Linked DNA regions of Oryctolagus cuniculus. The main gene of each other region encodes a partner of the protein of the gene in region 2 in a complex. Links are inferred from orthologs where the notes say so. Each region holds a gene or a part of one and is shown on either strand. Other genes may lie near its edges. The genes, in order: XPO5, XPO1 and E3 SUMO-protein ligase RanBP2.

What was found.
Region 1: XPO1 (region 2) and XPO5 share a complex: the UniProt entries of both Homo sapiens proteins name them as parts of the nuclear export receptor complex. The link is inferred for Oryctolagus cuniculus from reciprocal best matches to the Homo sapiens genes XPO1 and XPO5.
Region 3: the proteins of XPO1 (region 2) and E3 SUMO-protein ligase RanBP2 are in contact, whole or in part, in a cryo-EM structure (PDB 9B62), measured with the Homo sapiens proteins. The link is inferred for Oryctolagus cuniculus from reciprocal best matches to the Homo sapiens genes XPO1 and RANBP2. Residues at the interface, in NP_003391.1 of Homo sapiens: Trp60, Val63, Asp64, Leu83, Asn97, Gln98, Gly101, Ile102, Lys104, Tyr105, Val107, Gly108, Ile110, Ile111, Leu134, Phe149, Asp152, Ile153, Gly155, Ala156, Ser157, Arg158, Thr159, Ser160, Glu161, Leu163, Cys164, Asn167, Leu208, Phe211; in NP_006258.3 of Homo sapiens: Val2508, Val2509, Ser2510, Pro2511, Pro2512, Lys2513, Phe2514, Val2515, Phe2516, Gly2841, Phe2842, Gly2843, Ser2845, Thr2846, Gly2847, Leu2848, Ser2849, Phe2850, Ala2851, Leu2853, Ala2854, Asn2857, Ser2858, Gly2859, Asp2860, Phe2861, Ala2862, Phe2863, Gly2864, Ser2865.

What each region holds. Positions count from the first base shown.
Region 1 is NC_091436.1:126,538,292-126,541,940, reverse strand, and holds part of XPO5 (exportin-5), read right to left. Parts: intron 1,983-3,649; coding exon 1,886-1,982; intron 1,134-1,885; coding exon 998-1,133; coding exon of another isoform or gene 997-997; intron 733-996; coding exon 634-732; intron 78-633; coding exon 31-77; intron 1-30. UniProt on the Homo sapiens protein: Mediates the nuclear export of proteins bearing a double-stranded RNA binding domain (dsRBD) and double-stranded RNAs (cargos). XPO5 in the nucleus binds cooperatively to the RNA and to the GTPase Ran in its active GTP-bound form.
Region 2 is NC_091433.1:141,245,723-141,249,371, reverse strand, and holds part of XPO1 (exportin-1), read right to left. Parts: intron 2,194-3,649; coding exon 2,145-2,193; intron 1,837-2,144; coding exon 1,717-1,836; intron 506-1,716; coding exon 377-505; intron 1-376. UniProt on the Homo sapiens protein: Mediates the nuclear export of cellular proteins (cargos) bearing a leucine-rich nuclear export signal (NES) and of RNAs.
Region 3 is NC_091433.1:100,042,645-100,046,293, forward strand, and holds the end of E3 SUMO-protein ligase RanBP2, read right to left. Parts: intron 3,145-3,649; coding exon 2,871-3,144; intron 2,747-2,870; coding exon 2,415-2,746; intron 1,735-2,414; coding exon 1,429-1,734; 3' UTR 513-1,428; downstream 1-512. UniProt on the Homo sapiens protein: E3 SUMO-protein ligase which facilitates SUMO1 and SUMO2 conjugation by UBE2I. Involved in transport factor (Ran-GTP, karyopherin)-mediated protein import via the F-G repeat-containing domain which acts as a docking site for substrates.

The DNA.
Region 1 (3,649 bases), on a different chromosome or scaffold from region 2:
CCAGCTCGCCCCGGACCGGGTCTTCCTTACCACAAGAGGCTCCTCTGGTTGATGACTTGCCACTTCTGGGAAAGCCTCTGGGAAAACAAAGGAAGCAGGCGCTAGGATTGAGGAGAGACCTGGACTCCTAAGACCTGAGGCCCACATCGTGACGGAAATTTTCAAATGATTCCTGATACCAACAACAGAGCCTCTTTGGCTCCACATTGCAGCACCGCACACAGTTTCTGTCAGCTCTCCCACCCCCACGCTGAGGGCAGCAGGTCAAACAGCACTTTGCTTGAAAAGGACCAACACCGCTCAGAATCCCTGGTGTCTGGCCACAGCTGCTCACCGCCCAGCTCGTTCCCCTGCTTAACTCCAGGAGGGGAAGCACTGTCCTGAGCCCGTCACCCATCACAGGGGACGAGAGCAGGCCCCGCGCCTCCAGCTGCTCTGCAGGCCATTACATTGCCTAGTTTTCTGGGGGTTGCTCAACCGACTGCAGAGCTGACGGTCTGCTGGGGTGGGAGCTCTGTGCAGCTGGCCTGGCAGGGCCTAGAGACAACACAGGGAGGAGCCCACTCGCCAAACTTGCAGTGGCCACCTGCCAGTGGAGCGCTCTTGCCTCCCCTTTGCTGGCCTGTCCCTTACCATGTGGAGGTAGGTGAAGAGAGGTCCAAGGATGGGAGACACCAGTGCTTCGTAGTGCTCCGGGGGACAGAAGAGCACCAGGGGCTTCACAAAGACCCGTGCTGCGGGGCAGGTTAAGGTGTTTCAGCACACGGACCCAGCTGGGGCAGTCAGCCCGAGAGGCCTGCAGGATCGCCAGGGACTTCCTGGCTACACAGGGAGAAACCATCCCGCTGCGTGCAGCTCAATCCCATCACACTTATTTGTCCTGCCATTTACTTCAAACTTCCAGGCTTTTTAATGAGAACACGACACTGAAGACACAGCCCTCTGCCTTCCTCTGCTCTGACCTTTCAGGTTCTCGAGGAACTTTTCAAAGGATATGGAGCATGGGTCTGAGTCGGTAGTCAGGAATATTGTTCAAGTTGACAAAGGCGGAGCTAAGGAGCTGGGTAGCAAGGTCCTCCACGGTGTAGAAGTCCTGCTGCATGGAAGGGCCTGCCTTCCCGAGGATATGGAAACTGCAAGGGAAAACCAGGGGCAGTGACACATCCGGCATCTGCTACTGCCATCCCTAACTGCCCCAAGAGTTTTCAGCCAGAAAAGCGATTGTATTTGCTTCCTGAGAGCCCTTGAACTTTAAAGATGTGGGCCTAATCTTTAATCAGAAGTGAAAATACCTGCCCCTACCCTGTACCAATAAGGAAACTCCATGGAAGTACAGATTCAGCCTCTTTTTAGACAAATGTCTGTAGCCAAAATCAACAGCGGCCCTCGTTACGCTGTACGTGTTCTTACACAGGAGGCTCTCACTGGCATGACTGCTTATAGAGAACGGGATTAGTGAGGCCAAAGCTCTGCGGAGGTATGCATGAGGGCCGGGTCTGTCCCCATCCCATAGTCAGGACCGGAAGACAGACTCCTGGCCAGCGGCTGACTCACTGTCCCATGAGAGGCTGTGAGCAGTGAGGGGTCTGAGCAAGTGCAGCCTCACCAACTCTTGTCTTCCACCTGGGTCCCCTCACTTCGTGCACTAGACACAGAAAACCAGGAAATGAAACAGTCACGACCAGGACCGTGAGGCTCATAAAATAATTACCAAAACGCAAATGCAGGGAAGCTCGTTGTGCATTTTGATTTGTCCCTAAAATCATCAGTTTCCTGTCTCACATTACCCATCCACTAGCACTGGAGATCACACACCCCACTCGTGGCCACGCCCAGGCAGCAGCCACCTGGGAAGAGGGCGTGAGGGGCAGCGGTGGCTCCTTACCAGTTTTCATAGAGAGTGCTGAAGAAGCGCTGCATTCTTTCCAGAACTGTCTTGTAGACGGGGTGGTCATTGAGTTCCAGGAGAGGCTGAGGCAATCCTGCAGAGAGACACGGGCCAGGAGCATGCCGCCCTGCTCCCACGAGCCTCGCAGTGTGGTCTGGGAATGTGAGTGTGCGTGCAGGTGCTGCCACTGCAAAGCAGACGGCCGCATCGTCTGCCAGCTGGAGGTGCTGGAGCTTTCCCGAAGGTGACCTGTTACACTCTCTTGGTAGGGAAAGGACTTTGCACTAGGTCTCAGCACTCTCATTTTTGCCATGACATGATTACATATATATTTATATGTAATATATATATTTTTTCCAGGTGGAACAGGAAGTAAAACAGAGACAAGTCAGGATCTCAAAACATTCTAGTTTGTCTGTCTAGTTGGCAACATTATATATATGTAGATTTATTTATCTGAAAGGCAGAGTTACAGGGAAATCCAGAGAGATCTTCCATCCTCTGCTTCACTCCCCAAATGGTCCCAATGGCAAGAGGTATGTATGCTAGGCTGAAGCCAGGAGCCTAGAACTCCATCTGGGTCTCCCACATGGGTGGCAGGGCCCACGTACTTGGTCCACCTTTCACTGCTTTGCCAGGTGCATTAGCAGAGAGCTGCATCAGAAGTAGAGCAAGGGCTGGCGCTGTGGCATACTGGGTAAAGCTGCCACCTGTAGTGCTGGCATCCCATATGGGTGCTGGTTCCTGTCCTGGTTGCTCCAATTCCAATTCAGCTCCTTGCTAATGCGCCTGGGAAAACAGAAGATTGTCCAAGTCCTAGGCCCCAGTACCCATGTGGAAGACCTGGAAAAACTCCTGGCTCACGGCTTTGGCCTAGCCCAGCTTCAGCCACGAGGACATTTGGGGGGTGAACCAATAGACCGAAGATCTCTCTCACCCTTTCAAATAAAAAATAAATAAATCTTAAGAAAAAAAAAAAAAAAAGAAATGCAGCAGCTGGGACTCAAACTGCTGCTCACATGGGATGCTGGCGTCACAGGTAGCAGGTGGTGGCTTAACCTACTGTGCCTCAACACCAGCCCCAGGACGCATAATTTTTTTTTTCTAAAGATTTATTTATGTATTTGAAAGTCAGAGTTACACAGAGAGGGAAGGAGAGGCAGAGAGAGAGAAAGAGAGAGAGAGGTCCTCCATCTGCTGGTTCACTCCCCAGATGGCCACAACGACCAGAGCTGTACCCATCTGAAGCCAGGAGCCAGGAGCTTCCTCTGGGTCTTCCCATGCGGGTGTATGGGCCCAAGGACTTGGGCCATTTTCTATTGTTTTCCCAGGCCATAGCAGAGAGTTGGATTGGAAGTGGAGCAGCCGGATCTCGAACCAGAGCCCATATGGGATGCTGGCACTGGTACTGCAGGTGGTGGCCTTACCCACTATGCCACAGCACCAGCTCCGTGGAATACAAAATTCTAAACCAAGGGTTTCTGATTTGAGTAATGCAATGTTGTAGGAGAATGTGGCAAAACTACACCTTGTTTCTGTATTAATGGGAATATGGGTCTTGGAAATTCTATTTTTACTAGAGTCTGCAATGTGAATTTTAGTGTAGTGGTGCCAAAGAAAAGATCCAGGACTACCCAAGGCCAAGACAGACAGACATGAGCTCTGGAAAAGCAAAGTGACACCCATCCTTAGGTTACCTTCACAACTGAGGAATGCTCACTGGATTGCTGAGCCTAGCCAAGACCCGGCTGGGGTGATGGC
Region 2 (3,649 bases):
GCCGGCATCCCATATGGGTGCCAGCTCGAGACCTGGCTGCTCCATTTCCTATCTAGCTCTCTGCTATGGCCTGGGACTGCAGTAGAAGATGGCCCAAGTCCTTGGGACCTGCACCCGTGTGGGAGACCCAGAGGAAGCTCCTGGCTTTGGATCGGCACAGCTTCAGCCACTGCAACCAACTGGGGAGTGAACCATCAGATGGAAGACCTCTCTCTCTCTCTCTCGAACTCTTTCAAATAAATAAATCTTAAAAAAATAAAAACACAATATCTCAATACACTTGATGTGTAACACATGGAGGTAAAATATCTGAACTTGAATCCAACATTTTCTAAGGCACAAAAATGGTTCCATTTTCAAGATAGCAGACTATTACCTGTTTTAGCTGCATCATTGTCAGTGTAAATAGCGTTACAAATTGTTCCTCATATTGGCTTACACTCACACCAGCAATCTCGGTGAGGCACTTCAGAGAGACATTTCGAAACATTGGAACATTCAGGAACTATATTTTTAAAAAAGAGAAACATAAAATTAAATAGCTGAAGCACATGATGCTTAAGATAAACATTTTAAGGAAAGGAAAAGATTTAACAATCAGAAACAAGTTAGCAGTCAAATAGGTAAGTGAATGATATGCCTTATTTTAGAGATTATTTTAAGGAAATTCCATCATCTAAGGAATACTATGAATTTGGAGAAAATATATAAGTGGCAAAGCTATCAGTGGGTGGCAGTTTGGTAAGCATTAAAAGCCTTAGCCTATTACATTCTATTCATAAGACACCTATAAAGACTTAAATTGAACAATAACTATACCACTTACAGTAACATTTAATTAAATATATGTCCTAGAAATAGTTGCAGAATTGAAAACTTGAGACTTAATGGGATAGAAATAGACATATATGGGCCATGAGTATCTATTCAAGTCCTGCCTGCTCTGCTTCCAATCTAGCTGTTTATGCATTTGGCAAAACAGTACAAGACTAGTACGGAATATTGGGCTGCTGGCTTTGGCTTGAAACAGTCCCTGCAGTTAGGGCCATTTGGGGGATGAACCAATAGACAGAAGAGATATGTCTCTTTTTCTCTGTAACTCTGCCTATTTTTCAAGTAATAAATCTTTTAAAAAAGGACATGTCTATTGACCTGCTAATTCCATTTTAAACAAATTTACTGGAAGGAAATGCTTGATATGAGTATAAATATCCTATATACACAAGAATGTAGCTGAGAGTGAAGGGGTGACTGGTTAAGTGGCTGAACTGTTGGGATGCAAACATTCCTTTTTTTTTTTTTTAAAGAGTATCATGGTTTAGGTCCTGCCTCTTCCCAAGATTCCCCAGCTTCTGGGAAGTAGCAGGTAATGCTTCAAGTAAGTGGGATGCCTAAACTGAGGTCCAGTCTAGGCCCTTGAGGGCAATCTGAGAAATGACCCAACAGAAGGGAGCAGTTTGTCTCTTTCCCAGCCTCTCAAATAAATGAAAAACAGAAAAGGTGACTAAATATAATCAAGTCTGTCATTTAAATTAAATGAAATTATAGGATATAAGTGGCAGAATCACAGAATTTGACTCATTTCAATTACTAGCTATAATTATGGAAACATTCCTTTTGTGCACTGTCACCTCAGAAACACTGGCTATGCAGAAAGATCTTTACAACTTAAAAGGATATATACAAGTAAGCAGTAACAAAATATATTCATACTACCTTATAAATTAATGTGCTAATTAACTTGGTCTCAAAAATATATCCCAGTGGAATCCAGTTCAGAAACCTGAGCAGTGTTTCCAAGGTTGCATGTACAAGTGGAGCATTTTGAGAATTTTCCTGTAATAAAAACACATCTGTAAATATTATTTTCCTATAACTTATTTTTGAAAATGAAACTAAGGGCAGGCACTTCAGTTCCATACATTAAATTTCTAATTAAGGCACATCCTGGGAGGCGGCAGTGATGGCTGAAGTAACTGGTTTCTTGTCACTCAAATAGAAGACACAGATTGAGTTTCCCAGCTCCTGGTTTTGGCCTTGCCCTAACCTCAGCTGCTGCAAGCATTTGGGGAGTGACCCAGCAGCTAGGCACACAGCCTCTTAGGGCTTGGTTTTGAAATAAAAAACAAATTAAGAGCACTTACCATCACAAACTGACACAGCTGAAATATCTGTGAGAACTCATTGCACATGCTTAAAAAAAGAATAACAGGTTCCAATTTAGAAGACAAATAAACACCACATTTATATACTAATAAAATCATTAAAAATTTCATGATTTTAATGACCTGTCATCAGTCAGAACTTGAGTGACTTCAATTTCAACACACTTAAAGTACCAATCAAAAGCAAGCTGTTAAAACTACAAACACTAAGGCCAGTTTTGGCACAGCGGGTTGGGTTCCTGCCTGAAATACTGGCATCCCACTGGTCAAGTCCCAGCTACTCCAGTTCTAATCCAGCTCCCAGCTAATGCACCACAGAGGGCAGCAGAAGATGCTGGGTACCTGCCACTATGTGGGAGACCTGAATGAATTCCAGGTCCTGGTTTCACCTGTCCCAGTCCAGGCTGTTGTGTCCATCTGGGAAATGAACAGGTGGATGGCTATTAGACATTCTCTCTTTCTCTCTCCATCTCTGACTGTAACTCTGCCATTCAAAAAATAATTCTTTAAAAACAAACCCAAAAGCACTCTCTAATTCTCACCTAAAAGGACTACTGTCAAAAAAAAAAAAAACAAAAACAAAAAAACAAAACTTCATTTCTTAGGAGTTTGGTTTTTTGACACATTTACTCTTATTTTATCCCTTCAATAATCTCTCAAGTTTTCTCAAGTTTTGTTCTCTTTAATGCACATACTTGAAAGAAAACTCTCCAAACAAAATAGCATTACATAGAGTAGCTCCTCCCTTCCCCAAAAGGAGGTATGTTCCAATCCCTAGTGGTTGCCTGAAACCATGAATAATACTGAGCCCCTATATATTCTACCTATTTCCATATACAGACTTGTGATAAAGTATCAATTAGTATGTAGTTTACATATTAAGTATACAAAAAACATACAGATTAACAATAATATAAGGCACTAAAAAGTTATGATTGCAGTTTCTCTCAATATCTTATTGCAACCACTAACAGCTTCTCTTTGGCATATTCAAATTGCCAGCATGGTTACTCTTGCACTGTAAGCACTAATACCATAAAAGACTATTTGAAACTCTAGATAGCTACAATCTGATTAAAGGGTAAGTAGCAGCTCATCCTCATACAATGTGGATACGCTGAATGAAAGAATGATTCTTATCTTGGGTGGGACAAGGGACAAATTTCAACCCATAACTCGGAATTATGTGCAATTTAGATTTACAGCAAGACAGAAATCTGCTGGTTCACTCTCCAAAAGACTGCCCCAGCCAGGGCTGGGCCAAGTCAAAGCCAGGAGCCTGGAACTCCTGTGTGGCAGGGGCCCAAGTACTTGGGCCATCTTTTCCTGCTTTCCTAGGCACATCTGCAGGAAGCTGGATCAGAAGCAGAGTAGCCAGGAGGCCAGGGGCTAACATGGCACACCAGTGTCCCATGTAACGGTTAACCTACTATACCACAACACTGGCCCGTTATTATGTTTCAAAGTATTTTGCATTTAGTATT
Region 3 (3,649 bases), about 41 Mb from region 2:
CACGGTTCCCTTCAAGGTTCAGGTAATTCACCTGAACTGTTGCGGCTGGGTTACTTCTGGCAGCTTCAAGTTGATTTAGTGCTGGTATTCAATCATTCATTATTCACACACATCACGCGTGGCATCCCTGCCATCGGCTGCATGGCATTCTCTGCATGACGCCCCATTTCCACGTCACCACACAGGGAACAAGGAACTGTCTCACTGAGAGGCACACAGGGTGGAAGACGGTCAATACTCATGATCACAATACACACAATTTTCTGCTCTGACTGGGTTCTTTGTGGTTCTACGTGAAGTCTGCCAGTAAGAACATGTTTTAAAGCAGTTTGCCTAACTTGTGACACAAGCCACTTTTAACTGCATTTCAGTGTATCAAACTTGGGAAGTATTCCTTCGGGGGCTCTGGAAATTACGCGGCAGCTTGAGTTAACAGTACTGACCTTTAATTGCCCTCTGTACTTCAGTCTAATACTAGAATGAACAGACAACTAGATGCACAAGTAATGAACTTTTTAAATATCATGACTGTTGTCAATTGTCACTTTATTTCTGCTACAAAAGTCACCAGAAAAAGATACTGCAACAATCTAGTATAAAGCAAATCTTTAACCAAAGAACATGGTATAGACCTTTAAAAATATTCATACTTTATCACAATAACTGCAAGGAAAAATTCAATTTCTATCATCAGGACCAAGTTGAAATTGCTGAGGTAGTAGAGACAGATGACAAAAAAGTTTGTTTTCTTTTTTTAAAAAAGGAAATAGTCAATTTGCTTAAAATGTAAAAAATTAATTTAACACCTTTGAAAGGGCACAGAAGCTATATATTTTAGGCAAAGAAGGTACTCTACTTAAAAGTTCATTTGTAAACTATACAAGAGGTGTAAGATTACAGAAGAGCACTTTGGTTAACTCTACCTTCTGTGGCACTACCCATTCATAAATGAGTCTCTATGCATAAATGAGCACACCAACAGTTAAGGTTACCAAATATATTTCAGATCCAAAATAAAATTATCCAAGTTGTGGTCCCTTACTCAAATGTTAAGTATTTCCATGCTGGAAGTCCACATATATTTAAAGGAATTAAAATTAAATTGCATATATTTAATCCCTTCAATAGTCTGTGAAGGTATATTGCTTTTAACAAGATTATTATTACTATTCCATTTTATTACAGATATATCAGGAGTACATAAACACAAGTACACCTGAAATACACCAGTGTTTAAACTTTTATTTCACACCATGCAAGGTCAATTATAACACATTAAAAAGTGACAACAGCTATGAGCTGCAATTGTACATTTATACATTGGAAACGTCCATTTTCAAAAGCTGAACATAATTACCATATTGTAACAGCTAAGCTTTGATTCAACTGCTTATACAGATAAAATTTACTACAAAAAACCCAATGATTTTATATCTGTCCACATTCTGTGATGCTAATTCTTCGACTAACAGACCCTTTAGGAGAACCAAATGACTCAATCTTTTTCACAGTATCCATGCCATCCTTAACAAACCCAAATACTACATGCTTGAAGTCCAAATGTTCTGCTTTTCCCAGTGTTATAAAAAATTGAGAATTATTGGTATTTGGGCCCCTATTGGCCATTGACAGCAAGCCAGGACCAGTGTGTTTCACATCAAAATTTTCATCTTCAAATTTATCTCCATATATAGACTTTCCTCCTGTTCCATCATGTTTGGTGATATCTCCCCCCTGAAAGAAAAATTTAATTACTAGGAATTCTCAGTCAAACACTGAATTACACACAGAATTCATCACTGCAGGCTAAGTCCTAAACAACCAGCTTCCTGAAGAATGCAACTTAAGGGGCCAGCATTGTGACTCAGTAGGTTAAACTGCCACCTGTAATCCCAGCACCCCATATTGGAGTGCTGGTTCAAGTCCAGGCAGCTCTATTTCCAAACCAGCTTCCTGCTACAGCACCTGGGAAAGCAGAAGATGGCCCAAGTATCTGAGCCCTGACACCCATGCATTGACCAACTCTACTGTTCTGGGCATCTGGGGAGTGAACCAACAGATGGAAGGTCTCTCTCACTTTGTCTTTTAAACAAGGAAATAAATCTTTGCACTCCCTCCCCCAAAAAAGCTCTTTGAAAACTAAGAAATATGTATTTTTGAAAGACAATTAAGAAATTAAAACGTCCATCACTTCCCCACCCTCTTACACCCCAGTTAACAGAAAATTCAGACCCATTTAGGTTGAAACTTTTTGGCAGAGCTAGGAATTAGGGTGATAAAACCAATTAATGTGTGGGCAATCTACAGAAATTTTCACACTACAGCATAAGATCAGGAAGGAACACTCAACTTCCTGAGTTTATGCAGCACACACTCTTCTCTAGATTTCAATTCTGATGGACAATCATACTTACTTGGCAAAGACAATCTGGAATTACTCTGTGAAAAATGGAGTTCTTGAAACCAAAGCCCTTCTCTCCAGTACACAGTGCTCTGAAGTTCTCAGCAGTCTGAGGAACGATGTTTGAAAATAACTCCATGGTTATACGCCCTAAAGGTTCATCATCGGCACAAATGTCAAAAAACACCACAGGGTTGGTCTCTCTTGACAATTCTGCCAGTGAAACATGCCCTTTCTGGAGTTGCAATAAATTCTGTTGACATTCTTCAAACTTTTTCTTAAAACAATCAGCCATTTCTTTTGTTTTAAATCTCACTGCAAGCTGTTCCACTTTTGCTTCTCCATCTATTGGGATAAAAATGGAGAATACCTTTAAGATTAAAATAATCACTACCAACTGAATAACATGTTTGTTATGGGTTCAGGAAAGACCAAAAATGAAAAGTAGCATTCCCAAATAGAAACTCACCAGCATAATCTGAAGCAGTCCAAACTAAAGCATTATTTGAAACATTTAAGGGTTTTAATTCCATTGTTTTGGTAATAACATGGTTTGCACACACTTTGAAGACCTGGTCTCTCCTCATTAGGATCCGATAATAGTTCTTCATCCTATGCCAAAGGATCTTTATGTCTCCTACACCACGCTCCTTCCACTGGCTGGCATCACGATCCCATCTGTAAAGTTTGGCTCTCTCTTTAAACACAACTTCTTCATCTTCTTCTCCAGATTTTACTTCTACCTGGATTAGCAGAAGCAATTACCTATAAGCTGTTGCATATAACAAGTTTCAAATATTCAAATTCTTTAAGACATTTTCTTTGTAATGACGTTAACATCATAATGTGCTCACTGGTAAATATCCAGGCACAACAAATTCATCTGATTTGGTTGAAGCAGGAGGGAGCAAATTTATTATTAAATAGTTTTCTTTTAAACAGTATTCATTTGCATTTTAAAAATTGCTTCCTATATTGTAAACAAAAAGTTTCAAGAAGTCCCTGTTCCTGAAGAGAAACATCAACCACTGATCCAGGCTAAAAAAAAAAGAGGACAATTTTCCTAAAACAATAATCTTGTTCAAAAAATGTAAAGGTTATTTATATTTACTTTTGTGGGTTCAGTTTTGCCGATTTTATTGAGTCAATTCCAACTAGGAACAACAAAATAAATTTCTGCAAGTATAAATGTGATACGGGTTAAAACCCACTGTTCTATAACTAAAGATTTTCAAACTATCAGAAAAA